Linked DNA regions of Oreochromis niloticus. The protein of the gene in region 4 interacts with the protein of the main gene of each other region in a pairwise test. Links are inferred from orthologs where the notes say so. Each region holds a gene or a part of one and is shown on either strand. Other genes may lie near its edges. The genes, in order: spred1, igf2bp3, eif4a2 and pih1d2.

Region 1 (6,959 bases), on a different chromosome or scaffold from region 4:
GTGGCTCAATTTCACAATGTAATATGGTGAAGACTACTATTGGGGGGGGGGGGGGGGGGGGGAATGATTATCCTTGACTCTTAAAAAATGTGGCACACCAAATCTTTTTTTTTTTAATTTAGTCAATAGATGTCTCATGAAAAATATTTCATTAAACAGACGCTTTTCAGCAAAAATAAATGGCTCAGGCAGCGCTCAGTATTCCGTTCACTCCATTACTATGAATCATACAAGAGGAAAGGTGGTGAAATCTTAGCAACAATGTTTGGATCACTTCGCCATTTTAGCTGCTGCCATCATGCTGTGTGGAACTGAGGATTTTTATTTTTTAGCCTGTGGCAGTAGTTCTCAAAAATTGGGGATCTGGGGTGTGGATGAGTTCCCGAGATTATTGAAGGGAGTCGCATCAAATTTAGGAGATGAGGAGGTTTCACCAATTCACACAATTCAAGCTGAATCAAGGTTTATAGCAAATATAGCCTGGGATGAATTCATATGTGAGCTCCTGTGCTTTGACATGAGGAAAAATAAATAAATCCATGACATATGTTACATAAAAACAAAACAGTGTAGTTCAAGGACAAAACCTCCATGCATTAAATCAATCAGCCTCACAAAGGCCAGAAAGATTGAATGGGGGAAACAAAACAACAACAACAACAACAACAAAAAAAAACATGGGTGTGTTTCAGACATTAAACAGTGACACTGTAAATGGCTGAAAAGGGCATATGACTTCCTCTGTGACAAATGAATTGTGAAAGAAAAATCACGTCGACATGGTTAAGAAAAAACATGTAAAATAAACGACTAGAAAAACGAGCACAGGCGCCTATATGCGACGTATTGTACCGCGAATGCAGAATATGTGATCACTGTGTGACCGTCGGTGCAATGCGAAACAGTGTACAGTGCTGTGAATGGGCAGGCAGGTACTTTATGAATGGAGGGGATCATGTGACCGCAGCACCTCCCGAAGCAGATATTTCTCACTGACTGTCAACAAGCGCACACAAGGGATCAGCCCATTAAAACAATACCAAAATGCGAGCTGAAATGGGCGCGACGTGTACAAAAACACAGCATGCACAGATCATAATCGATGTCCGTAGGTTGTGAGGCTCTGGGCGTGAATGCGATGCCGTTTTTTAAGCGTTTTTATGAATGGAGGATTGTGATATGTAAATGAGCATGATTGAGAAAAAAAAATGGCATCTTCGGCTTTTCAATGCCGACATTGCCGCATTAACCGCGAAGAGCCTTCATTAAAGAAAGGCTAGACTTAAAGACAAACACAATCCGCAATATTTTAATCGATGATTATGTTCCGAAATCATGGCGGACAGCAGTTAGACACAGATCGGGGCTGTCAATGCAGAGGACTCTGATCGTGATGTACCGAGCAAGCACTCACATAAAATTATATTTAGATTACTGTCACCTATGCGTCTGCTCCGAACGATCCTTCGTGAATTAATACATTTCCCGAACATATAATAATACACCAAGCAAGCAAAATAAGCAAAGATTAGTACACCTCAAATGTTGTGGCTTTAATGTGAATTCTCACAGCATATACTGGTTAGCAGTATCATAAGCCTACAAAAAAGTAGCAACGAGATTAATATTTTACTACGGATCGATGCCACCGTTTCCCCGGCACGGTTCTGTTTAATCTCACAAGGCAATCCTTTCTATTAGCTTGATAAACAAACAAACAGGGGGGGAAAGTACAACGTGTTTCTTATTGTTGATATTAGTAAAACAAGACGATGAAATGGCAACGTTGCTCGGTTAGAAATGTCACCGGGAACTAACGTAGCTCGATGCTCGGTGTGTTAATATCTACATATATAAGCACATATTGAAGATTAGCTGTGTGTTTGGATGTAAATGATAAAATAATAATAATAATATTAAAATAAAGTGTGTGTAAAACAGGACTCACTCGTTGTTTGGATTTGTTGAATCTTCACTCATTTTTTTCCTCACGGGGATCCAAATCCTAGCAATAGCATCGACGACGCAGTGACGGCGGGATAAAATACCACATATATCACCATTTTCCTTCACATACAGAAATAACCCCTATTTCGGATAGTAAATAAACGGCGTACAAGGGGCATGCCTAACTCAGCGTCCCTATGAAAAGCAAGTGAAGCTAGCTGGACGTTAGCTTTTGCTGGCTGGGCTCTAACGTTAAATCGCGAGGAGGAATGACAATCGTTGATTCATTTTATCCTCCCTGGAAGTAAAATCCGACCACAACAAATGGGCCATCTGGACCATCCTCTTCAACTGACACAAATCCCCGGCTTGCAAAAATGTGCATAGATCCTCAAAAAATGTAGAAACCGTTGTAGGTTGTATCGTTTGGCAGGTTATTTATGGCTGGCTGTCGAGCATCCATTCGCCAACTTCAGGTCCAGGACAACACTTGAAAAAGAGCTGTGCAGCGTTGCTCCGTCAACGTGTCCGAGTAATTTTCAGTAAAGGCATCCAATGCCCCCCAAAATGGTCCGACTGTTTTCAGTATTAGCACCGACAGTTAAAGTAAAAACACATAGACTTGAAATTTCCTTGAGAACTTGATGGACATCTGCTTTAATCGAACTCCATTTTCAACTCGGGGGGGAATGAAACATCGGAAAAATGGGCGGATATGTCGACCCTCGCTTGAAAAAAGGATCCTTCCGCGACGTAGTAAAAACATAACACTTGTGATAGAAAAAATACCAACCCAGCACACACTTTGCTCTGTATGCTTAAAGAGTAGCGTATATTATACTAAACCGCGTTCCCCCGTAAGCGTATGCAATAAGTTAGTAAGATTTCTTTCTAAAGTTGACCTAAAGTAGTCCCCCCACTTCCCAAAAGAAGTTTCCCTTCAATCACGCATTGAAACAAGAGGGAAGCGTCTGTGTGATAGCACGCAAAGTAGGCTAGAAAATAATCTAGAGGAAGGACCTGAGCTGACACGGAGACTTGGTCATTAACAATTTCTGGTATATTCTTTTTTCAGTTGTATTATCGTGATCTACCTCCCCTCCGAACCGCTTTTAAAATCCTAATGCAAAATAGTGGGGAAGTGCTGCAAATGTACACAACCGAGAGTGCTGCAGCACGTGGAATTATATCAGACCCTCTTCACGATTTATGTGTTTCAAATCAAGATGGTATTTCTATCGCTGAGCGTAGGCCAGGGTTATTTATTATTCAGTGATAGCAGAGTGAAAAGTGAAAGACTGTAAAGCGGCAATTCAGAAAATGAGGATTTTTTTTTTCTCTGGAATGTAGAAACAAAAATCTGAGTAGGGCATGGTGTGGGATTTTTGAGAACTGTAATTGGCCGTAAATGTAAATAAAATACAGGCATTAGGATTACACTATAAGCTACAAAAAGGGGTGATCACTAGAGAGTAGGGGACTAAAACAACTGCATGTGGCTCAAAGTCGTGCTTCTAAAACTGTACCAGGCAGCTAAAGCTCCCTCCAGAATAAAACAGTCTAAGAAGTTGCCAGAAAAATCCATGTGTGCTTCTATGAATCTTAGTTGCAAATGTGTTAAAAGCCTTTCAGAGCAAATCGGCAGCCTGGTTGCATAAGACTTAAATGCTATTGGATTTCTGTGCTGTGTGGAAAAGGCAAGAGATCAGGCTAAATGATTCTGCCTGGTTGTCATAGTGACAACATGTTGTGTGAGAAGTTTCTTTGTATTTCTCTGGCTTTCATACAGCTTGTGCTACAGTATTATGCTGAGGGCCATATGAAACGTCCCTCTGTGTCACTGTACATACACTACCAGTCAAAAGTTTGGACGCACCTTCTCATTTAATGGTTTTTCTTTATTTTCATGACTGTTTACTTTGTAGATTCTCACTGAAGACATCCAGACTATGAATGAACGCATATGGAATTATGTAGTAAACCAAAAAAATTGAAATAACTCAAATTTTGTTTTAGATTTGTCAAAATAGCCACCCTTTGCTTTGATTACTGCTTTGGACAATCTTGGCATTCTTTTGATGAGCTACATGAGGTCGTCACCTGAAATGGTTTTCCAACAGTCTTGAAGGAGTTCCCAGAGATGCTGAGTATTTGTTGGCCCTTTTGCGTTCATTCTGCGGTCCATCCCACTGCAGGATGCTGTGGTAGCCGTGCTGGTTCAGTATGCCTTCATTTTGAATAAATCCCGATCACACCTCCTCCTCCATGCTTCACGGTGGGAACCATGCATGTAGAGATCATCCGTTCACCTTTTCTGCGTCACACAAAGGCACGGCAGGTAGAACCAAAGATCTCAAATTTGGACTTATCAGCCCAAAGCACAGATTTCCACTGGTCTAATGTCCATTCCTTGTGTTTCTTGGCCCAAACAAATCTCTTCTGCTCGTTGCTTTTCCTTAGTAGTGGTTTTTTAGCAGCTATTTGACCATTAAGGCCTGATTTGCGCAGTCTCCTCTGAACATGTCTGTGAAGGTTCTCAGTCATCCAGGTCATCGTAGTCAAAGGAGTTTGCAAAGAAAAGCGTCTGGACTTCTTTAAGTTGCTTGAAGACGTTTCACCTCTCATCCAAGAAGCTTCTTCAGTTCTAAGGTCAAATGGCCGAGAGTCCCAGATTTAAACCCAGTGGGAGAATGGGTTTAACTGTTCCTCTGAACAGTTGATGTAAAGATGTGTCTGCTACTGGAACTCCGTGTGGCATTTATCTGGGCTCTAATCAGAGGTACTGTTAATTGGCAATTTCTGAGGCTGGTGACTCGAATGAATTTATCCTCAGCAGCAGTGGTGACACTCGGGCTTCCTTTCCTGGGGCGGTCCTCATGTGAGCCAGTTTTGTCATAGCAATGGTTTTTGCGACTGCACTTGGGGGACAAATTTAAAGTTTTTGCAATTTTCCGGACTATCGTTTCTCTTCACTTAGCTGATTGGTTTAAAAGGCCTAAAAGTCATTGGACTAGCTGACAAAAATTTAAATATCCATCCATTCATCTACTTTCTTCTGCTTATCCAATTTGGGAGCGTGTAATATTTGACAAGGCTAACACCAGAGAGACAGTTAAGTATTCATGTTCACATGAATAGTTAACTATGTCTAATTTAGATTTACCCGTTAATCTAATCCATGTATCTCATTGAACTGTGGGAAGAAGTAAAGAGAACCTGGGATACAAGGATTGTTTTTAATACTTGAATTGAAATCCTGTAGAATTAGACTGTAGAACCCACGGACATCAAATCCTGTGTTTCTTCCCTTGAGATGTTCTGCCAGGCTTTTAATGCAGCCACCTTCAGTTTTGTCTTCAGTAACTAAAATTATGCCCTATTGGGCTGAGATCAGGTGACTGACTTGGCCACTAAGGAATATCCCATTTCTTTGCCTGGAAAGACTGCTTTTGCAGCATGTTTTGGGTCATTATCTATTTATACCATGAAATACCGCCTGATCAGAGTATACCCCTATACACTTCAGAGTTCTTCCTTCTACTTCTTTCAGCAGTCATATCGTCAATAAACACTACTAATCAGATTCAGTGAGCAGCCATACATGTCCATGGTATAACATTGCCTCCGCCATGTTTGATAGATGACGTGACAAACTTCATGAGCTATTTCATTTTTTCACCATCATTCTGGCAGAAGTTAATTTTGGTTGCATCAGAGCTGGGCAGTCTTGTTTAAACGTTTTCTATCAAAGTCTAATTTGGCTGTGCTGTTCTTGAGTGTAACCAACAAGTGGTTTGCACCTTGTTATAAACCTACTTACATCCATGAAGACTCCTTTTGATTTTAGACTATGTGGCACATTCTTGAGGTTGCTTAACTTTTGTAGATGTTTTGAAGAGGTTTCTCTTAACCTAGAAATGAATTCTGTGATCTTCCAGGTCTATTGGCCAATGTATTCTTTTACATATTGTTCCAATTATCAATCTGATTACTCCCAACGTTTTTGCTATCTCTCCAGTTGGTTTATTTTGTCGTTTTTACGCCTTGTGTTGGCCTCATTCACTTGCATGGGCATGTCTTTGAACCTCATATAAAATGTCATGTGAAAAGCTATGAAATTCTAGTTCAAAATTCGGAATCAACTCTTTTATCTGCCTAATTTGTGGAATAGGCTTCTCTTTGTCACGAAACTGCTTGTCAGTCAATTGTCCAGTGAGCCTCTGAAAATGAAGGATTTTATGTATAAAAATGACCATGAATCCAAAACAGACTGCCTGAGAGCAAAAGCTCTCTTGGGATTGTTTTCTCAAAAAAATAATGATTTCAAGCTGACATGAATGTTTATACAAGCAGTCTGTATTATAAACGGGGTAATCAGGTTAGGATACTGCATCTTTGTTTTATTTAACATGGCCTCTTCACTTATTTCTGATTAAGTTACCATGATCAGGTCCAAACGAAGTGTCCCTTGATTCAAAAAGAGCAGAAAAGAACAATGAACATGATTTATTTTTCCTACTAGCATGCCTTTATCCTTTAGAGTATTTAGAGTTCAGGAAGTCAGCCTTCTTTCTCATCTCACAAATGTGGATGACCCTAGTCCATTTCCTGTGTTTTTCACACTGAACATACCACACAACGTAGCATATTTAAACCAGCCAACAGGAAGTTTAGCTGATAGAAGCATCCCTCCTTGACTTTATTCACTAAATGCAATCAAACTCATCACAATATTCTTCAAGGGAGATATAACATTCCTGCATTGCCAACAAGGAACCACCGAATGGATGATATTTTTAGCCCGATACAATCCTCATTCATCAGATCTAAGCTGATGAGTGAAATGATTTAAAATACCGCAGTCTGATGTGACTGGCGTTAAGTCATGTTCCTTTATTTTTCAGTGACTCTGCAGCATGAATCTTTATTTACTTGAAGCGTCTGATGTATCTTGTAATGTGAAAAGAATGTGATAATTCGATGTAAGCAAAAATTATAAAATTACCAGACAA
Region 2 (7,735 bases), on a different chromosome or scaffold from region 4:
TCTCATTTAAGTACACCTGGTTTATTTAACCAAGCTACAATTTAGACCAACAGCCCACCAGGAAATGCTTCTATGATGTCCACGTGGAAAATACATTTCATGTAAAGGTCTCGCGAATTCTGCGTTTGCTCCATTTTATAACCAAAATGCTTTTTTAAATACATACAAGTTACGGGGAGCAGTTTTTTTTTTTTTTTTTTTTTAATGCCTACGTGTTCCAGCAGGACTTTGTGATTTCAAGTGTGACCCATTTCTTTACATAAGAGCAGATCACAGTTAAACGTTGAGAACAAACAATGCAAACCTGCAATACTAGTCAGAAATTGCCGCAACCATCATCAAGCAAAAGCAATTTAATTCAAGAAAATGCTTATTTTTCACCAAACAGCATCGCCACCAAATAATATAAAAATACGCACACCATGTCAAAAATCGCCCCTATGTTTAAGTCCACTGCACATATTCCGAGGACCACACAAAAAAATATATTGTGCACCTTTGGAAATCATACACCGAACCGCCCAGTGTGTCTACGGGCGTCTAACTCTGAAACCAAGGGTTTTCGTGACTTGGGTCCCAAACCTCCCATTCCACTCGCGTTTGGAGTCCATCTCATGCAACAGCAGCACAATGTGCTGAAGAGGGCGGAAGCGCAGGGCAAGCAAGGGAGAATGACGGGCAGATCCTTCTCAAATGGACGACTTCACAAGGCCTGTACGCCTCAAATCCAGCCTGCACTCACTCAGCACACATTTCAGCCTGCACACTCGGGGCTTTAGTACTCGCCCTGAGCTTTGCGCTTTAATATCGCCAAGAACTGCACGTATACACTAAAAAACACAAGAGTGAATGGAGCAAGCGAGGAGAAGACAGCCATGAGATGGTTTAACTCAAATGCACGACGGTTTTGGGAGCACTCCCTCAGTCATGGCGAGAGGAAGGAATAGACCGCCATACGCCCCTTTTATTTGACCCCAAAGAGCATTCAGGGAAAAAATAAGGGGGGGAAAATGATGGGCGTACGTATTTTAACTAAAATAAATATGTAACGCTTGGCAACAAACACACATGCAGCATTATTAAAACACACTCTCTCGCGCACACACACACACACACACACGAGGTCAAAGTAAAAAAAAAAAAAGACGAGGAAGAGAGGGTGACTGATTTAAAAATATATGTGGGGCTTCTACGAGTTTAACCAAGCACTATTTAATAAAAAACCCACGTACCTTTGACGTTTAGGGACCGAGTGCTCCACTTCAAGAACTTTTCCGTGAAGTTCAACTTTACCTTAAAAAGAAAAGAGAAATTTAGATTATCAAAACACAGCAACGTTAATTTCATTAACCACATGACCTCTCGTGTAGGCCTGCATACTGCTGAGAAAACAGGAGTTAATGTTTACCACTAAAAATCCAGAGAAGCACACATAGGCATGACTGCGAGCTGGATATTTCTCGCATAGGAGCACAAATTGTTCAAAGTGTGTGAGCCACTGGTAGCACGAGGACAAATGAGCCTGACATTAGCACTATTCGTAAAATAGTGAACGAGTTTAGCTCAGCTGTTACGTGTTCTGTAGGTGCATGCTTAACTTGAAATTAGACAACAAGCCGTGAAGGGTTGGGGTGATTAATGTACAAAAAAGGCTAAATGTGGTGTGCCTGCCTGAGTTAGTTGGCCTACATTTGGCCAACACAATTAAACCACCTGGTGTGTCAGCATGGACGAAATGGCTTCACAGTGTAGCGAGTGGAGGCTGTTGGAGAAGGCCTGTATTTTGAAACCTGGAGAAGAGTGCAAGTTCCAGTAGAAACTGGTGAAAGCGGCGACACATTACTCTTCAATCGTGCCAAGCTGGGGCTGTGTGATAGAGCTCACAATAAGGGTTCACTTCACGGCTTCCACAGCCCCGCTCGCTGCCCTGAACGGCACATAACGTGCATTGCTTACACTGAGGATTGTGTTTACTCTAGCATTTTACCAAGCTACACTCAGTCAAATTACAAGGGCAGAATTTAACTCAAACCTGGGGGAAGCCATTTGTGTGAGCCCCACGGTGTCAAAAGGCCAAGTAAAGGTTGTGTGAGAGAAAGAAACGCTTGGATACACCCCCACCCTACAGGACTACATGCATTTCTCATAGGGTCCCCCCCCCCACCACCAGAAGTAAGGCAATCTTCACACAATTGCAGCAGTTTGGGAGAATTTCCTAATGGCACCTTTTTGCCCCAGATTATCTCACCTGAAAGAACATCGATGGCCTTCATTGCTGCCTTCTCGTCCGGGCAATCCACAAACGCATAGCCAGTTTTGACAAGAAATGGACCACTGTGCGGAATCTTCCACTGCTCAAAGATAGTTTCGAAGTCCTCCTCGCTCGCCTCTGCGCTTACGTTGCCAATGTATAGCTTATTCATGTTCTGCGCCGAAAGGGACAATCTTTACGCTGAGGGAGAGATAGTTATTTGCTCTCGCGGATGTGCAGTGTTTGGAGTAGCCTAAATCGCCTTTACTACTACGGAGTGGCTGTGGCGTGCTTCCCGGTCGTTCAAGCCACAGATAGATTTAAACTGGCAGCCTCACAGTGCGTTTGCGCTCCCTCGCCCCTCTGTCTCTATCGCGCAATAAATAAATGCTCAATTATTAATCTCGTGTCTCCGAACGATGGCGGGCTGGGTGAAAAGGAGGAGAAACTACTTTGTGTCTTCCTCCAAACCCCTTGGCAAAGAGACAGAGAATGTCACACACGGTAAGGCTGGCGCCCGCCTCTAAGTCTAGAGCCTAGAATAAGAAGAAGAAGAAGGGGGGAGAGAAAAAAAAAATCCTCAGCTATTCCGGCTTTTTTGAATGAGCCACGTGTTCAAACTACAAATCAGCCCACACGTGAGGAATCCCAATTGCTCAATTAAGTGTTTGGGATTGGGGAAAATTGCACGGGAATCTGGGGTGGGGACAGCAAAGGGGAGTGAAGAAAAAAAGGAGGGGAAGAGTGGATTGGTGTTGGGAAAAAACCTGGCGAGCTTTGTGCGTAAAGGGATTCCGTGAGAAACTAGTGTATCTTTACTAGAATCACACTCGTGTGCCTTTCTCTGCACAGCCTCGACTCTCATTGGTCGAATGAGGAATAGTAAAAACGGCGGTGCGCGCACGCACGCCCATAGCAGGGAGACGCTGATATTGCGGGGGCTTGTGCGCACGGCTGTGCTAAGTGCGCTGCATTGGCGACATAGCGGATGGAAAAGGGGGTGGGGACACTCATAAATGATTTTTTTTTTGACACCATATTGTTAAATTGCATATAGAGCGCATTCAGTTGTACGTATTTTGAGTGGGGAGTGGGGAAAGGTCCTGTGAAACTCCTTGGGCCCTCACGCATTGTGGGAATGACACGTAGGCTACTACTCTCCATGACGGTATCCATCTTCTGCAAAGAGTGGAGTCATGCCCTCTCTGATCCACAACTCAAAGTCCAACAGCAGGCCCCATTTGCTCTTGGTCACGTCGAGAGGGTATCTTTGGGCGAAATGAGTGCTGCCACGCCATTTGTTTTGTCGTCTTTTGGGCTGTTTGGCACAACTACGAAGCGTTGGCCATGTGGAGCGAATCACACATGGCGAATCCTCTCTGCTATACCCCAGCATGGATTTGAATTTACTGAAAGAGGGAGGGGTCTCCCACACCAATGTGCCCCTAGCGTACTATGTAAAGCAAAGCCCAGTTCAATCACGTGTGGAATACGTGTCTTAAAACATTACACAACTGTCTGTAAGATCTTTTGTAAACCATAGGCAGAGGTCGACAGTTTACGAACGGGTCGCTCCACAGGTCATTTCTGCATACACAGGACTAATTGGCAGATTAATCAATGCCTGGCGATGTCAATAAGATGATATATTGTCAGGGCACAAAGTTTCAAAACACTAATGATCCCCCAAAGCGTAAATTTATAAGCACATGTACAGTCAAGTACCACAATAAATTCTGCCTTTGTGCAGGCTATAGTTTGCAGTGTTCCTGAACGTTACTGCAATATACGGAGAGCATAATTCAGCCGCAGTGGCTGCCAAAATGACCATAAAATTGAATCCGTGCCCCTTTAAAGCAGTTTGAGAGAAGAGCTAGTAGAAAACTTTTAGCATTCATTTTATAGCATTAGTTTCAGATTTATGCACCAAACAAGCTGGCACCCAAATGCATCTGTCTGCATTATAATGTTAAAGTTCAGCTTTAAACCCAGCACCTTTAAAGCGAGGCTTAAACTTCATCACGTGTTCAGGAGACGTGACACAGTATACTTTAGATATGTGCTGCATGGATCTATTTTCTTTTCAGGATCGTGTGTGGGGATACAGGAGGGCACGCTTTCATTCATAAAATTGTGTTAGATGAATCGGCGTGACGGGTTAGTTAGAAGTAGCCAGAGAGCAACAATGTCAACTACAAAAAAGTTACATAATAGCAGTAACTTTCATCTCATTCTCCTTTAAATGCATGGTTTTTTTTAATCTTATTCTTTTATTTTAACTCATTGTAAGCCCATGTTTGACTTGTGGCCATCTTGTTTTGAAAAGTATTTTAAGAAAGAGTTAGAAACGTGAGTGGGTGTAGTCGTCTCTGCAGCCCTGCAAGTGGCATTACAAAAAAGAAGGGAACAAAAGCTTTTCTCTGGAGCTGAGGTGATAGCACCGTGTCTCTGAAGCGTCTGCTAATGAACAGGCCAAGGTGTGCGTGTTCATGTAAAGCAGGTTACAAAGGGAGTGTTGGCCCTTCAGCCACTGGCTCACAGACCGGGGCCATTGCTGTCTCGGTGGGTCTACTCCTCTGCTGCTGAACAAACACACCGAGCTGTCTGATTGGTCGAGAAGGCTGTCCAATCGGAGAGCCGCAAACCTGCTCCGTACTACTCCTGCTGGCTCGGCCTCAACGCGCTCATTCATTGGCTCCCCGGCTCGACTATTCTATATGAATCAGCGCGCCAATCATGCATTTCTCCCCATGTTTGCCCAGTTTGGCTTTTGTCATGGCTTGAAGCATGAAGATGTAACGAAACACGCCAGTGATTAAATCCGAAGCGCTTTGCGTTTAAAAAAATACCCTCTTTAAAACTTTCCGAGAACTTTATGTTGTATTTGGATTTATAGGGCAACCCTTAAATAGGTTAAGTGATAAAGGCGTGAAATAGGGTTTAAAATTCAACTTTAGAGCAACTTTCTATCGACTTTTAATCGTTTCATAATTTGTTACAAGACCTGCTCCCCGAAAAGTTTCTTATTAACTTATTAGTGAGTGCTTAGATCTCTGTAGTCTTTCTCCTGTATGGATCTATATGAGGGTTATTTAAAACCAGGGCGCTTTCCGTCGGCCTAGTTAAGCTCATACAATTTTTTAAAACCCCGTTTATTAGTCGTTAACCATTTCCACTCCTCGTGAAATAACGAAACGCACACGGATGGGGCTCTGTGTGAATGCCAGCTCTGCCAGCTGGGCAGTGTCTCCGAGCTGGTAGTCTCACAGGCTGAACGTATAGAGACAGCAGTCATGTTAAGTTGCTCTCCAGTCTCTGTCGGTTTAAATGAGCCGATGCATGGCTGCAGCCCGCGTGTGTGTGTGTGTCTGTGTGTGTGTGTGTGGCTGCAGGCTCTGCAAGAGGAGTAGTGAATGTATCGCTGAGGAATGTACAGAAAGTCTCCCCGCCCCCAGCTTCAGGGCTCCTCGCTATGGACAAATTCCATAGGGGGCAAAACTGACATAAAGTTTCAGACTAGACTGCATCCTATGTGGGAAGATTTTCTGCGGTTAATGTCGGTGTAGGAAAAGAACTGACAAAATCGATCTGTTTAAACATAGTCTAGGATATTTCTAGAGGGAAAGTCAAGGAGGGAAAGAAGGGAGGGAGATTGTTTAGGTTTTTTTTTTTAAAGAGAGAGCTTATAGCCCAACTTTGAGCTGCTGGCCTCGCTCCAAGATATAGTCTACGTCGCCAAGCGCAAGGCTCTTTCACAATCCTATTTAGGCTACAGAGAATCAAGGATTCTGTTTTCCGGTGAGATTGCTTTATTATGTTTTTATTTATTTATTTATTTGTTGCGAGGCGATTCGCATCTTTAACAACATTGTCGTTCCACGTGAGTTTTAACCATTTAATCCAGTTGCTGACCGCTTCGGACAAGAGTCAGGGAAGACTGTGGTGAACGCCATGTTGAGAAGAATCTAGAGCCTTACAGTATCATTAACTAAAAGCAAACAATGTCCTTAACGACGTTAATGCAACTGCGTTTTTATTTTTTTCATTTTTCTGCTCCATACATGTGTTTTCTATTGTCATCAAGTGCTTTCATGCAGGCTCCAAAAAACCCTTAAAAAAGGGCATGTTTATTCCACAGATTCTGCTTTGAGATGACACCCTTCATCTCATTAGAAAATGGCGGTTTGTGCCCCCCTAAAGCACATGCCAAGGAATATTTCTTGTAGCAGTTAAATGGGGATAGCCATAGCCTGCTGGCAAAATAGCAAATATTCCAGATAATATCTCTGTTATGTTTTTTTAAAAAGACGAATAATCCCAGTAAAGAATCTGCCCTAGCTTTTTTCTCGCTTTCTCGTCTTATACACCCTTTTCACCCCCCAGACACAACTTAAATCCTGGGAATTTGTGTGGAAAAGTTTCTTCTTCCTATGCCATCAGTAGATGATAGGACTGCTTATATATGCTGATGTTTTAAATGAAATAATCATCCCTTTGTTTTTTTTTTGCTGGAAAAGGAGGGGAGGTTTAAAAAGCAACCAAACGTAGCTGCCGTCACACGATTGTTTGGTTTCAGTTGGCAGCAACTGTTCCTTTATTAATTTATCTATTTTTGTAATTAAAATATTTACCAAGTAGCTGATCATTTGGTTATATTCTGAGCTTAGTGAACACCCCACAAAGCATGGCGTCTGTAGCAGCTGTAATTACAAATTCTTATTTCTTCTTCTTTTTTTCCTCTCTTTTTAAAAATTTAACACCCAATTAACAAAAATGCACTTTGACGTCATAAACATTTGTTGAGTTTTGTGTTTTATGTTATCTGGAGCTGACTGCATTTTTTTTTTGGTCTATTGTTGTGGAGCCTTTGTGTAGGTTAGCAGCACATGTTGATGAAGGATGAAAAGTTTTCACGCAGAGTCACATGAACATTTGCAGACTTTGGTATACATTGCAGCTATACTGAACGGCCATGCTTTAGCATGTGGCTTTGTCTCTCTTATAGGAAACCTTCCCCTCTGGCAGCTGTTGTTTACTGGTTTCAGCACCTTGATTGATTAGTTACAGTGTGATACGTGTTGAGAAAAATTCCTCCCTTAACGCCAACCCCCCCAAAAAGCAATCAATTTCTTCAATGACTTGTTTTCTGAAAGAAGATGGAAACATGATTTGCTGTTCTTTGGAGTTTTAACACTTTGCAATTTTGCACTGGGTTTGTGTTTGTTGTGCGAGAAAGTGCGTGATTTGCTGAATCTTAAGCAGAGTCAGTTGTCCGTTTCCTCTGATTAGAAATGCAGGTGTGATTTAAAAGCATGTGGATATTGAATATTTAAAATAAAGTGCTGTGATGATCATCTGTGACTTTGAATATTTTTGTTCATTAATTTAAGTGTTTAAAAAAACACAAATAGTTTATGGACATTTTCTTCAACCATCTAGCTTTTAAATGTTAAAGATAATAATTAACGTTTTAATTAGTGCGTG
Region 3 (6,928 bases), on a different chromosome or scaffold from region 4:
GGCCACATGAGCTAAACCTGTGAGGCTTGGCTCCTGCAGTTTTAGCAGGGTGCTTTAGAGAGAAGGGAAATTAAAACATTCACAGTGGTACAGGATTATCCTAAAACCGTAATGTGCAGAAATGTTACCAACCTCTCGCTCCACATTAATGTAGAACTGCTTGATACCCTCAAGGGTAAGCTCTTCTTTCTTCACCAAGATGCGAACAGGATCTCGCATGAACTTCTTAGTCACCTCCAACACATCTGCTGGCATGGTGGCTGAGAGCAGGACCACCTGAAGAAGCAGCATTACATGTTACACCACCACCTCCCAAAAATCTGCGTAAAATTTGGTACAGCGTATTAGAGGCCAATGCCAATTGTGGCACTTCACCTTGAGATTGCAGCCAACGAACATTAAGAAAGAGGTTCGACCACATCTCATTTTCAGTCAAGTGCACAATAATCTCCTTCCACGTAAAAATCTGCTAGCATCATTGCATGAAACAGAAAATCTGGATCACACAATTATAGCAGACCTCTGTTGATGCGGAAGGGCATCTTATTTGTTCTCTGGTGTGCGTCAGTCTCTTACTTGAATGTTTGTGCTCAGTTTCTGGAAGATCTCATAGATCTGATCCTTGAACCCGCGACTCAACATCTCATCGGCTTCATCCAGAACAAACATCTTGATCCATTTTGGAGCTGCAGAGAAATGTCATGTTTGTTAGCAAACATATCACCAACCCAAGCTTCCAGTAAGCAGGACCTGTAATACTTACACAGGTGTTTCCTGTTCAGCATGTCGTACACACGTCCGGGTGTGCCCACCACTATGTGAGGGGCCTCGGCCTGGAGCTTCTGTATTTCACTACGGAGATTGGTCCCTCCAATGCAGGCATGGCAGGTTGCCCCCATGTAGTCACCCAAAGCCAGAATTACCTTCTGGATCTAAGAGGGGGAGATGGGACAGAGGGAAAGAAGAACGTGTTTAAGATAATGTGGCACAGAGAACCAGGCAAGACTTGCAAACTCCAGACTGCAGAAAAACTGTTTAAAGTGATCAGTAGAGTAAAAGAAACTCTCCATTTCAAGAGTCAGTCCCGAAAGATGGTATGCCATCACATCACTCAGTTTTTCACAGAAAAATTCGAAAGCATTTCACCTTTCAGACCAATGTAGCCACGGACAGAGACTACATTAGCTGAAGATACTCGTCAAATCTTTTGGAATTTGAACAAATCTTTAAAAGATTGTACCTTATGATCTGAATTAGTGTCCTCAGTACGCTGCTTAGGTCTGAGGTACTGCTGAGGTTTATGGTGACCTCAGGAACAGCATACCTGCTGAGCCAGCTCTCTAGTGGGAGCCAAAACCAGAGCCTGAGTCTCCTTCTGCTCAATATCCAACTGCTGCAAGATAGAGATGGCAAATGTGGCTGTCTTGCCAGTTCCAGACTGGGCTTGAGCAATGACATCATAGCCTGACAGTAAGGGGAAAAAATTATTTTAAGTCCATATATTTGTTTCTCAAAACAGAAACATGCAGACAGGCTAAACAACAAAAGTCATCCTTTGCAAGATTTAACTCATCAAGTAACCATTTCACAGTATTGAGTGATCAGCATGAAACAAAGTTATCCCCATGTCTTGGGTAAGTCCCGAAAGATGGTAGACCATCATTTCACTCAAACATCTACAATCCTATTCTGAGTTTAAAAAGAAAGGTATCTGTACCTTTGATGCAAGGGATGATGGCCCTCTGTTGAATGGCAGATGGTTTTTCAAAACCATATGCGTATATGCCCCTGAGAAGAGTCTCCTTCAGGTTCATATCGTCAAAGTTGTCCGTAATCTCATTCCAGTTGCTCTGAATTGGGGAAAACAGCACATGGATGAGTTAGTACTTTACTGATCAATTTACAGCCAAAAATATAGCGCCAGTTTATATTTCGCCTTAGTACTTACCTCGATGACACCATCAGGCTCCATTCCATCTGGCCCCCCATGGTCTCTATCTCTTGAGCTGTTGAAAATGAGACACTTCAATTTTCACATAAAATGTGCCCTTAAAAATTAAACTGAACGCATGCTACAGCGATAGTTTCTTCGAGGCGTCACTTAATATGAAGGTATGCTGCCCACTCATCTCCAACAATAAGACCGCCTATTTCGCGCTCACGGTGAGAAACTAAAACACAGAAATTACGTTAGATATGTAGTGAGATAGTCAATCGTAGTCTGGGTAACGCCCCGGGGATGTAGTTTCACAGTCTGGAGGTTCACTGAGCGCACGTGTCAAATTGCACGAGCCGGGCTCAACTGCAAGTCCTTAATAAAATGGCCGCTTACGTAACCTGTAAAGGTTTGAGGCTGGCTCCTCACACCCACTGTGGTCCTCGAGATTAAAATTACATCTGTACACGCTGGATGTACCTCAACATGGAGCTCTGCTTCGCTCACCATTAGCCAATATGTCGGCCAGTTGGGCCTGTACTGCCAACGGTGCCTTCTACTGAGGCCTACATACAGCCTGGTCCGACGGCTCTCAATTTGGGTAATCCCCAGCTACGACCGTAAAAATGAGTTTTACTTATCACTACAAAGTCCCGGCGTGCTTTACGTTAGACATGGCCAAATATTAAACATTTAAACCAGAATGCTTTTAACAGCAGTTTGGAACTACGGTGTGTAACGGAGCGGCTAGCGTCACATAGCTAACAGTTAGCAACAGATCACCTCAACAGCGGTTAGGGCCTAGTTAACTACTTAATAACTAAGTTTGTATAACACCAACTGCAAACTACTTTCGCAAGGTTAAGCGCAGATAACTATCCAGTGTCGTTTTGAAAAAACACGACCAAATGTCTCCTGTTACCTGTTGTAATCAGCAGAATCGCTAGACATGATCCGTTCCCAACTTCAGCATGCGAGTGGAAAGATCGCTGCTCGAGAATACAACTGCATTTATGGAGCCGGACTATTTTCACCGACAAACTCAGTACCCAGTTTGACTGATAATAAAGTATTAGTTGACTGACTTAATGTTTGAATCACCTTTTATTTAACACAGTACTTGTTGTGTTCAAATGTGTCTTTAGATAAACAATAAAACATTAAAATTGTTCCAGACTATATTCCTCGGCGGAAGGATATTGCAGTAATAGTGGGTGCTCGGGCTCACTACCGTGTCTCTAATAGGTCAAAACTCGCTCTGAAAAGGTTGTGCAACATTTTTGGAGAGAAGGTTTGCGTAAGGCCCATGCAGGCGGGGTTCAAGAAATAAAATGAAGTGTAATACCACATAGAGCTAACCGAGGCTTTGCTGTCCCAGTGTGATTATTAAACAACTTTTAATTGGCATAGAGACAAAAAGGGACAATGCTGCAGTTTCTGTGTCTTTGACACACTGTTCCATACTGATCAGTTTTGTGTAGAGTTAAAGACTTGTGAAAAAGCATATTGGAGAATAGCGACAGCAAAGATGGTTGTACTTATTTGGGGGTAAAAGTTAACAAACCTTAATTTAAAAAAAAATCAGATTTGACTGGAGATTCCATACATGCAATTTTTATCTCCTGGTGACCTTTGAGATGAAAGTTAAGTTAGATAATGCTTAAGTTAGTATCCACTGAGTCAGAGTGGTGAGATTTGCTTCTCAGGACTTTGATAAAGTACCCAGTTTAGCTGAGCTAACACAACGCATTTCTCCCTGTGTCATCTCTCTACTTTACCAGTTTCACCTTCTTGGAGAAGTTCCTGATTTACTTGGAAGACTTTGGACTCTACTCTGGTTTAGACCAGAGCAGAGTTAACTAGATTATTATGAGATTATTATTATACATATTCAGAAGATTATTCTCTAAGTATGAGAGAAGCATCACAATAATAATCAATTATGAAGCACACTCATGTGACTGGATATAATATCCCTGTTTACTTTAAAAAACAAATCTAGATTCTGTATATTTAAGCCTTCCCCTACAGCAAAGCTGTTTTAATGGGCAGCTTTTCTCTGATCTCAGGTAGTCGTGTTTGTATTGATACAAAAAAGAAAGAGCATATTTCTCCCATATTAGCTTTGGCTACCTGTTAAATGTAGACTCACACTTAATATCCCTCTCCTCACATACAAGATATTGAATAATCAGGTCCAATCTTATCTTAAAGACCTCATATCACCCTAACAGAGCACTTTGCTCTCAGTCTTGTGGTTCCTAGAATATTTAAAAGTAGAATAGGAGGCAGAGCCTTCAGCTTTCAGCCCCCCTCTTCTGTGATTGTTGGGATTTTCTCTCTATGACTGTAGAGTTTTAACCTTACTGTTTTTGGGATTTAGCACTATGTAAATAAAACTGAATTGAAATTGGATTGCACAAGTAGTTCTGTTATCTCTATGCTCTATTTCAGTGCATTTCAATAGGAAATATTTTAATTATTTAAACTCCATGGACAGTTAACAGTTAAAGCTTTCAGCTAAAACATTTGAGCAACTCTATGGACCATCCAGCAGTATCAGCGCACCACTCTTAAACATGACCTTGTGATGATTTTTGCCTCGGCCAATAAGAGGGACACTTCATTCTTTCTTTTCTGCTATAACTACAAAAACCATGAGTAAGTAGGCTACCATAATTCATATACTTAATATCAAATGAAATTACTGTCTTAACAACCATGAAAAGGTTGTGGTACACACATCAAATAAGATTACAAATACTTTATTCATCCACAGTTGCTCAGTTAAAACAGCCAACAACACAATACATCGTACAACAAAAAAAAGCTTTGCCTTTTTTCCAAAGGGAGCGGTTTGATTTTTCCTTTTTTTTTTCCTTTAATTAAATAAAGTGGAGATATGTTTGAATGTCACCAATGCAGGCTTTCGGAAACTATATTAATGCACAATGGTGTAGTAGTTAGAGAAGAGTTCCTCCCCTGCTGAAATGTCCCTGAGAGACACTAGCACAACACACCGCAGACGCCTCTGTGTACCCTGGCTGTAGTTGACGTTAGGGAGATACTGGTGGAGCTCAATGGGAAACTTGTCTGGCACGTCGTACTCCTGGTAGCACACGTTGGCAGGCCTCTCGTCAGAGCAGTTGTTCACATACTGACCCACAGCCAGGGGGTTTTGGGGAGTGTCTGTCAGCCAGCTTGTGTCGCTGGTCAAGAAAGGACCTATTCTGTCTCTTCCACTGCACGACTTGAACACCATCCTAGAGATGCCTTTGTCATTTCCATCAACCAGGATGCCATCAATGCATCTGAATACAAAGGGGTTTCTGATAGACTGAAGGAGAATGGGCTCATAGGGTTGGTAAACAGTGCCGGGATACATTGCAACTGTTGCTCCTTTGGGTACAAATCCCTTGGTGACAAAGACTCCGCTTCCTGCGAATGGTAAAGTGCTAGGTTTCCGCTCAATGCAGAATCCCAGTGTCTGTAACATGGCATCCTGTCCGCACACCGGATCTCCTCCAACCTGCTCTGCTTCACTTGTTAGCTGCGGCATAAACGGAGTCTGGAACTGCCTCTGATGAAACCCATGACTCCTGAACAGGGCTCTGAAGAGCGTCAGCAGGCTCCGCGAAACCTCCTCATCGGGGACTAGCTTGTCTTTCGAGCGCTCAGTCACATTCCGCAGTGTTTTCTCATTTTTAGACAGGTTGAAGACTACCCAAGGCACAAACCTGTGTCGGTAGGACTTCCATTTGTTCTGAAATCTTCGCAGAACAACTGTAAACATCCAGAGACTTGTTTGTATGTCGGACATTGAAGAACGAGGTTCTTTGGATGAATCGTCGAGTCGTTTCCGATAGCTTGTTTCAAAATAAAAAAAAACACTTGTTGCTATTTCAAAACGTAGAGCGAACTTTAAATTTGTTTTGCTTACATTTCTTTAGATATGTGTTGTATGTTTGATAAGGAACAAAAGAAATCGATAATTAACAATTTGGGAAGTTGTATAGGTTATATGCTATAAATTGTATGCTCTTATTTTGAAGAGCTGTGATTCCACCGGAAAAACTTTTTACGCGACTTGTAAAAACTTTACGGGCAGTAAGCCAGCTGGATGGGAGGAAGAGTAGCCCGGCAGTGACAAACATGGTACGAAATTACTCTTTTTTTTTTATTCTTGTTTGAAGTGGCAAATATAACATGTAGCCATTCGCATAAACGTATAAAAACACATCTCTTCGGATTCATATCATAGTCTTAAAACTGCTTTTAATACCTTAAATTCGCCTGAAATAATGAAAACAAACAGCCCCCTCTCCTTTAGCGTTAGCTAAGTAGCTCACAGTGGGGCTAACCAACAAGCACAGTGAGCTAACTACGATTGCTATCATTTAAACACACAAAATGACACAACTTTTAGATCGTTATCGTGTGGAATGCGTAACTTTATCAGTAGTACTGATATTAAGACTAAGAAACCGCCAGTCAGTACTCTGGAAGTCGGTGACTCCAATCAGCATAGCATGTCGCTGCTAGTTCCCTCTTACTGTGATTTAGATGTGTTTCGCCAGAGTTCACTGTAGCTAACAGCTAGCCTTCCCTTTGTGGTTATTGAAGAGCGGCACGATTATTTCGTTCAGTACTGAGATAACGATTATTTATCATTTTTTCAATTACAGAATTGTTTTTATTGCAGTGCCACATACAGACACCGCCTTCATATCTTCGCGTGGACACAACTTTTGTATCAAAATAAATTAGGTCCTCCTTAGTCACCTGAATTTAGTGCGCCTCAGAGAAAGAACAAAAACGCTGTACCAAAACTTAACACAAAGTTAAATCAGCAGTGCACTTCTTTTACATTTGCATTGTGCTACATCCCTGTTAATTCAACTTTATAAATTAATCTTTGCAGAGACATCAGGTCTTTATTCACCTGGCCTATTTGCATTGCCTATAAGCAAAATATAAAGTTTCTCACTCCAT
Region 4 (7,358 bases):
GTCGATTATGTATTTCTTATGACATCCAGCTACACACTGACACACACTGGATTCTAAAGTGCTTCGTTATAACTGTTCAAGGGAGTGTGTAACCACTAACCTTGGACACGCTCAGCTGGCACTCTGACATGGAGCAAACCATTGGCAGCTCCACCATCAGTTCCACGCTGTCAGGAACTCCTGCTGCATCAGTCTTCACCTCGAGTCGATACTCTGGCTTCTGAGGCCCCACAGAAGCGGCTGAGATGACCTGGATCAAATCCTTCTTTATTTTCTCTGCAGGCCTACAGATAATTTGAGGAGCAGAGTCCTCTTGGTTTTCTGATTGTAGGGAGGAGATGTGCTGCAGGAGGGCAGCTGGTGTCTGACCAGCTGTAAAAAAAAAAAAAAAAAAAAAAAAAAAAGGACTATGGATTATCAGGAAAATTGTTTTAGGAGGTGAAAGGAGAGTGGGTAAAGAGCACGGGTTCAACATAAAGTGCTTATCAAAGCTTGTCAGGGTTGACAGACTTATTGCATTACCTGTGTCGGGTTGTTTGGGGGCACTGGACAACTTCTGAAATCCAAGCCGGCGGTGCAACTCATCTGGGCTACTATTTGGGCTACTGTTGACAACTCTGTACTCCTGCGATAACGTCATCCCAAGCTGCTTCTGGGCAAAGCTCAGGGCCAGCATATAGACCTGGTTAATCTCTGCTTTGTTCTCCCTACTTTCCTGCAGCAACACAGGATTTAATGCCACATCCAGCACAGTATACCAGCCTGTAAAGGAAAAAGTATGACTTTCTTGCTTGTGTCATGTAATACAAATGGCAGGTCTGCAGCTTGACACACCTTGATCTTCATTTGTGCCTGTTTCCAGTTTTCCAGTGTACACTGGTAAAAGCCTGCTGGGATCCTGAGGCGCAGGCACACATTTCCAGCTGCATATGTTGATGTACAGCAGGCCTTTCTTTGGTTTCTGTCACAGAAACACAGTGCTATCAAAAGGATCTGTCAAAACAAACTCAATTTCAAAGTTCTAAGTGGATAAAAGTCTAGCATCTTTGCAGAGTGAAGTAAAAGTCTGTGTTTCTCATGCAGCCTGTGTATTTTAGGATATATAAAGCAAGCACAGCTTACAGCTCCTCAGCAGAAATATTTTTAGGTTATTACTTTACTCTTGGTTGGATAAAAACAAGAAATGTGATGACAAAGCTTTCACAGCTTGTAATGGACTATACTAATTAATAGGGCTAGAAGTTATAATCCCTGTCAGTATAACACAGAACTGAGTGGGTTGGAGAAGCCATCTAGATGGGGTGTTTGCTGCTGACCATATGGGTATGTATCCATCAGCGCGACACATCATCAGCTTTGTACCCCAGCTTCATAGTGCATTTCCATAATTTCTCACAAGATGCCCTTAGCCAAAGCAGACCCACCACAGGCTGATCAGACCTGGGTGTATTTCACATGGCACCCACCAGTAATTTGGCAGGCCACACTGTCTCCTTCTGCTTCAGCCAGCCCCTGTGACTACTTTCTTTTGGCAACAGTGGCAAGCTTTTTGATTAACTTGTATTAGGCTGCCCTTCCTGATGCCTACTTCCTTCGTCAGTCTTACTGTGGAGCTGGCTGCGAAGCCCCTACAGCCCACTTCCACTGAATGGACCTCCACTTTCCAGCCTTGGTCCTCTCTCTCAGCTTGCTCATGCTTTCTTCTTGTCATATGCCTTATTGATTGCATCCTCCCAAGGGACAATCAGTTCTACAGTGAAGACAGACTGGCAGGAACTGGACCAGAGAACCAGACCTGGGTGCAGGTTGATTTCAAGTGTAAAGGTATATTTCAGGAAGATAGGGCTTGACATGCTGTTTCTCACCTTCCCAGATGAAGGTTGTTTGTTGCAGAAAGGTGGCTTTAACTTCTAATGAGTTGCAGTTAGTCTATACTCTCCTGACTAATAGCTACAGACAAGTTAGTTGGTTATGTCACCAACTATATCCTCCATGTGTTAGACTGCTTTTGCAGCCCACCCGGATGTGTTTGAGGGTTGCATACAAGGGACACACTGCTGGAGTGAGCAGAACATCATATGTGGGCTGTTTTGTTTTCATATTCCATAGCTCACTACATTTGATTTTTCTTCGTTTTATGCCTTCCCACATCATTCAGCAGCCTTGTTAAGGTTAGAGGACTGCTGTTGCACATTGAGTCGATTCCTGGCAGTCCCTCTCCTCCACCATCAGATGCCTGCATTACTTGGGTGAGCCTTTTGCAGAGTAAGTGCTGTTCCCAATCCAAATTCTTCTGTAATGTAATTCCTTGTACCAATGACAGGACCTGAGACACTGAATCATTTAAAAAAAAAAAAATTTTTTTGATGATGGGTACTGAGCTGTATCCTAAATTTTCTGCTATTAAAGTTAACTTTCCCTAATTTGTGTTTGAATTTAGAGTATATATTTATTTATGTTTTGGAGGAATAAAGGTGGGCTTCCTTTCTAGCTGAACCAAAGAATGTGCTGAGTAACACCTGTATGGAGTGGGGCCTACACAGGAAGGAGCCTTCACGAATGAAACTCACCAGTATTTCAGTGCAGAGGCAGGAGTCCAGCTCGGGCGGTGCTCTGAATTCAGCTCCTTCCTTCAACTGTTTCTCTATAAGCGTACGGTAGGCTGCAGGGTCATTTTCAGAGAGATCATCCAGCATGGACCACAGTTTGCTCATCTGCTGCAAAACATCCTCTGTACTGCCAGTGGAGCACATGTTAAGGTAACTGTCGTACTTTTATTACCAACTCTAGCTAGTTAGCAGAAAAAGTTTGTGCGTCAGAAAACCAGCCGGTCAGCAGTGTCATAGAGGAGCATGTGTTATAGAAACACCTTAAATATCCGACAAATATGGAGCAGTATCACACAAATATTTAAAAAAACCAAACCAAAACAAAACAAAACAACTAATTACGTTCTGTAGCTCATTAGTTGTAATCGCTAACACTAGCTAGGCCAATGTTGTCAGTTGCCATAGAAACTATATGAAACGTAACACTGTTGCCACCAGGCGGTGAGATGCGGAACTGCGGCTCAGAAACCACACATGACAATAAGAAGCATAATTTATTTTCAATACATGAAAAACATAACGTAAAAATGCATGTTGATGTTTTCAGTCTGTCTTTATGTGTACATTATATAACTGACACGTAAAATAAAAAGTATCATGTATAACTGTAGTTTTCTAACGTTTCCACCAGTTTCATCAGAAGCTTCCTTCCTTTTGTTGTCATGAGCCCTCCTCAGTAATTCTGCAAAAATAAGGAAAGAATTAATATTAGAAATCGCTGTTCTGTTTTACAGTTTCCATCTCAATCCGGCTGAAAATACAAAAAAAGAAAAAATTCAAATAGCGGCATGGATGAAACTAATTAGCGCTTTCTGCAGTGTAGTGATATAAGAATTTATTGTAATATTTTAGATAAGTAAAAGTATTATCCCTGTAAAAAAGTATTCCATGATATGTAAATATCCTCCGTTCAAAGAGTTGTTATCAGCAGGGTACTTCTACAAAAACAAATGACCTATTTCACAGGCTTACTTTGATGCATTTCTCTCAACATAATGTTTTAAAACTGGCAAAAGTGGAGCTAACTTTTTAAAAATATATATATATAATGAAATTATAATTAAGCTGATCATGTGTTTTGCGTGTATTTTTTAACTATCGAGCTCAATAAAGAAGTATCGAATGATACTAAACCTCTGTGCTGTCCTGTAAATAGTTAGTTATTGTTCACTGTAGAATTAAAAAATGCTGTTTACCTCTATCATCTCGTAGATCCATCCCAAGAATTTGGCCACTTTGGTGTAAACTCCAGGATGATTGGGCTCAGCACACCCTGTTCCCCAGCTGACGACCCCCACCAGCCTCCATACGTTGTCATCCTGGCAAACCAGAGGGCCCCCACTGTCCCCCTGGAGAGGTAGGCCCAAACACTGCTCACTACAGCTACTCATAAAAGAGAAGCTAAATCTAGTGGTCAAAACAAGCCTCTGACCTGACATGCGTCCACTTTTCCCTCTGTGTAGCCGGCACATAGCATCCGTGCTGTGATCTCTCCATTGTACATGCAGGAGCTGTTACATTTCTTTGTGCTTATTATTGGGACTGGCGCCTCTTTCAGGGTGTCGGGTGAATGAACTACGGGTGAAAGTTTCAATTTAGGACTGCTCCACTAACACACTTGGCTCACTCTGTCACCATTTGAGTATGGATTAGATTTGTAGCAGAGATGCATTTGTTTAAGAGCAGAGCAGTGTAGTAACATCTTACCCCCGTCGGGTTGCGTGTATCCCCATCCAGAAATCCAGCACTGTGTTCCTCCTGGAAGGGCATAGTCGTACTGAGGCAGGCAGATGGGCCTGATTGTGTCTAGTTAAAAGGAGGAATTTTGCCTCTTAATACATTTAAATAGTTACAAGAGACATTAAGTTGTACTGCAAATATGGTTGGATTCATAAGTCATGTTAAGAAGTGTTATAAAACCACCCTTCACTGAGACGTGTTTTACCACGTTTAGACTTCAGTGTTTGTCATGAGAAAGCTGTTTTCTCTTTAGTCTCTACGCTCATATCAAATCACAGCTGAAAAACAAGGAAGCTTTTATGATAGAGAAGCCAACTGTGGTCCTGTATACAACATAAAGAAAGTTGTCTCCCACTGAGATCAGAGCAAACAAAAAGGTAGCAGCCATACAAACTCACAGAATAACTTAAATATAACCGAATCTACATAAAATGCATTGTGTACAAAAATAGCCCTGTGTCTCTCTCATTGGATTCTATATGATGGCCTGGTTTTTTGTGTTTTGTTTTTTTTACACTGTACAGTATTTGCATATTCATGTATTCTGTCCTTTGGAAGCTACATCTGTAATTCGGTTCATTTTTATTTATGTGAATTCAAAACAATAGTCATTTCAAGGCTCCTTATGTTGTGAGGTAAAGAAGAAACAAAATTACAAAGACAGACCCAAAGATCCCTCAGGAGCCAGGAAGGAGAATAAATTTCAACGTCTCAAAACATCTGGAGGCGGTGCTTTAATTGTTGCTGAGACTGTAAGCTTATGTGTGAATCTTAACAGCTGATTCTGTGAGATGTTAAAGATATTGGGAGCCTTTTCATTTGAAGTGTATATCACTTGTTATGATTAGAAAAATTAGCATAGCAATAGCACTTATATTGTTTATGATAAATTGTTATTAGCATATGAAAAGGTAAACTGAAGCCAAAGTACTTTTTTTTTTTTTTTTTTTTTAAGTGCTGCGATGAGACTGACCTGAGAAATTGAACGGGGTCCGCAGCTTCATCAGTGCTATATCGCTGTCGTGGGTCCTGTGGTTGTAGTTCTTGTTGTAGATGATCTTCTCCACCGCGTAGCCTGCATGCTGAGCCGTTTTAGCAGAGCTGCGGGTCACAATGCCAGCATAGACCACCCAGCTGGATATCTGAGGTAGCCTGTAGCTGACATTTGGGAAAAGAAAAGAGAGAGTAGATACTGATACTGCTACACTGGTACAGCTGTTAATGACTGATTATTATCCTTCATCGTGGCTGCAACCTCTGACCTTTAGTACTTGTCAGGTCAGCAGTCTTACTTGTGTACACAGTGGGCAGCTGTGACTACCCATTGACTGGTGATGATGGAGCCTCCGCAGGTGTGACGGTTGCTGTAGTAAAGGCTGACCTGCCAGGGCCACCTGCCCAGCGCGGCCTCCACGCCCCCGATTATCCTGGGTAGCTTTGCTCGTGTGCCACACTCTAAAGATCCATTCATCAAAACGAAACGAAATTGGGTTGGTCAGAAAGAGCAGCAGCAGACGCCATCATTCATCCTGCTCTGATATAAAGCTTTTGTACAAAAACACTACTGGCCTCTGTGCGAGGCGCAAACTCAAATTAAAAGTTAAGTTTAATTTGCTCACCAAAACACTGCAAAGCGATAACCTTCCCTGTGATACAACTCCTCCTAAATGAAAATAAATTGGGTAACTAATGATGCATAATTAATGTATTAGCGGACGCAATTTTCCCTGCACCATTATGAGTGTGATGTCCTCTGACAGATTGCCTTACCTGAACTGCCACATATTTTCCAGGCTGCTCTTTTGTTCTGAGGTAATTTGTATGAAGCCGTCAGTGTAGTTTGGCCCGATATCAGTAAGGTTCACTCCTTTATGCTTGGTCAGTCTGGTAAGGGAACATTTGAAAAATGGGTGGGAGCGAGTATTGAGATAATTTAGTCTCATGAGGTGTGAAGCAAGATTATAAATGAGGTATTAATAGATCATAAATAAGGTGAGCCTTCAGCCTAAAATTAAACCAAGTTTGAGAATGGGCTCTCAGCTTTTTTAAATGGTGCTATAAAGAAGCAGTGTGTGATCCTCGCAGGACTGCGAAAAAGCATCACCTCAGATAACCCAGCTGTCTGCAGACCAGTGTTCCCAGCGAAGAGTTCCACCTCTCATAGCATACTGGAAGCCAGGTGGGCAGCTTCCCCAGCTGGATCTCCAGGAGGGAGTTCTCAGGACTGATTCTGTAAAACACTGAACCTGATTGATTGAAAATCCCTCCAGAGACAAGCTCTCAGTCAACGTTAATGATCAAGCCTCTTCTATGAGTGGGAAATGATTAGGAAAAACACAAGTATCTATGCTAATGTAGTCAGTAGAAACAGATCATTATGTGTGATGTTTTCATGTCGGTCAATGGGCATCTCTCAGGAGTGAAGAGAAGACAACAAGTAGCAGCTGCTGAATTTTAATTTTTGTTACTATTCAATTAAGAAACACTTCAGAGGTGACCCATGACCTGATATAATGAAGTATATACAATAAGCTAAGCAGCCACGCATTAACGTGCTGCATTATAATTCATAAAACAGTGAAAGAAACGCTACCACGAGGGAGTAAACACAGACCTTTCCGCGAGTCCGATGCGGAAATATCCTCCGTCACATTGCAGAAGGATGTCTCCTTTGTATCCCCAAGCCCCACTGGGCTTTGGGAGGACGATGGCCTCAGCAAAAGTTTGACTAAAAGTGGATTAAAAGAGATAATCTTTTAATCAGGCTGCAAAATGGGCAGCAAAACGTTGTTGATTTTTCCTAATATTACCAGATTATCTGAATGAGAACCCAAAACGGACCAGCGTCTGAGACAGCAATAAAATGTCATTAAATATTGTTCATTTCTATCTGCAAATCCAGCTAATTAGAAAACAGCTAATTAAAAAACAGATTCATTTTTCAAAATTTTCTCTATCTTAACTTGAATGTTGTCGCGTGTTTCCATCAAATTTGGGAAACTTCAATGC

The links.
Region 1: the proteins of pih1d2 (region 4) and spred1 interact in binary tests that used the Homo sapiens proteins (3 or more experiments, as listed by UniProt). The link is inferred for Oreochromis niloticus from reciprocal best matches to the Homo sapiens genes PIH1D2 and SPRED1.
Region 2: the proteins of pih1d2 (region 4) and igf2bp3 interact in a two-hybrid assay, tested with the Homo sapiens proteins (2 studies listed by BioGRID and IntAct). The two-hybrid records come from large-scale screens. The link is inferred for Oreochromis niloticus from reciprocal best matches to the Homo sapiens genes PIH1D2 and IGF2BP3.
Region 3: the proteins of pih1d2 (region 4) and eif4a2 interact in binary tests that used the Homo sapiens proteins (3 or more experiments, as listed by UniProt). The two-hybrid records come from large-scale screens. The link is inferred for Oreochromis niloticus from reciprocal best matches to the Homo sapiens genes PIH1D2 and EIF4A2.

Annotation. Positions count from the first base shown.
Region 1 is NC_031983.2:16,022,481-16,029,439, forward strand, and holds the start of spred1 (sprouty-related, EVH1 domain-containing protein 1), read right to left. Parts: upstream 3,007-6,959; 5' UTR 1,981-3,006; coding exon 1,949-1,980; intron 1-1,948. UniProt on the Homo sapiens protein: Tyrosine kinase substrate that inhibits growth-factor-mediated activation of MAP kinase. Negatively regulates hematopoiesis of bone marrow.
Region 2 is NC_031985.2:24,856,279-24,864,013, reverse strand, and holds the start of igf2bp3 (insulin-like growth factor 2 mRNA-binding protein 3), read right to left. Parts: upstream 3,018-7,735; 5' UTR 2,424-3,017; coding exon 2,249-2,423; intron 1,534-2,248; exon of another isoform or gene 1,467-1,533; coding exon of another isoform or gene 1,409-1,466; intron 1,294-1,408; coding exon 1,233-1,293; intron 1-1,232. UniProt on the Homo sapiens protein: RNA-binding factor that may recruit target transcripts to cytoplasmic protein-RNA complexes (mRNPs). This transcript 'caging' into mRNPs allows mRNA transport and transient storage.
Region 3 is NC_031982.2:10,206,567-10,213,494, forward strand, and holds the start of eif4a2 (eukaryotic initiation factor 4A-II), read right to left. Parts: upstream 3,013-6,928; 5' UTR 2,888-3,012; coding exon 2,859-2,887; intron 2,007-2,858; coding exon 1,949-2,006; intron 1,851-1,948; coding exon 1,718-1,850; intron 1,671-1,717; exon of another isoform or gene 1,596-1,670; intron 1,465-1,595; coding exon 1,325-1,464; intron 1,114-1,324; exon of another isoform or gene 1,039-1,113; intron 933-1,038; coding exon 764-932; intron 687-763; coding exon 577-686; intron 540-576; exon of another isoform or gene 360-539; intron 277-359; coding exon 133-276; intron 68-132; exon of another isoform or gene 1-67. Other genes in the region: setd9 (SET domain-containing protein 9), read right to left, coding at 4,878-5,756; dcun1d1 (DCN1-like protein 1), read left to right, coding at 6,089-6,091. UniProt on the Homo sapiens protein: ATP-dependent RNA helicase which is a subunit of the eIF4F complex involved in cap recognition and is required for mRNA binding to ribosome.
Region 4 is NC_031979.2:26,671,743-26,679,100, reverse strand, and holds the start of pih1d2 (PIH1 domain-containing protein 2), read right to left. Parts: upstream 3,019-7,358; 5' UTR 2,754-3,018; coding exon 2,571-2,753; intron 962-2,570; coding exon 835-961; intron 763-834; coding exon 523-762; intron 373-522; coding exon 101-372; intron 1-100. Other genes in the region: tmprss5 (transmembrane protease serine 5), read right to left, coding at 3,283-3,291, 3,806-3,958, 4,042-4,184, 4,317-4,415, 5,323-5,507, 5,642-5,804, 5,969-6,012, 6,120-6,233 and 2 more.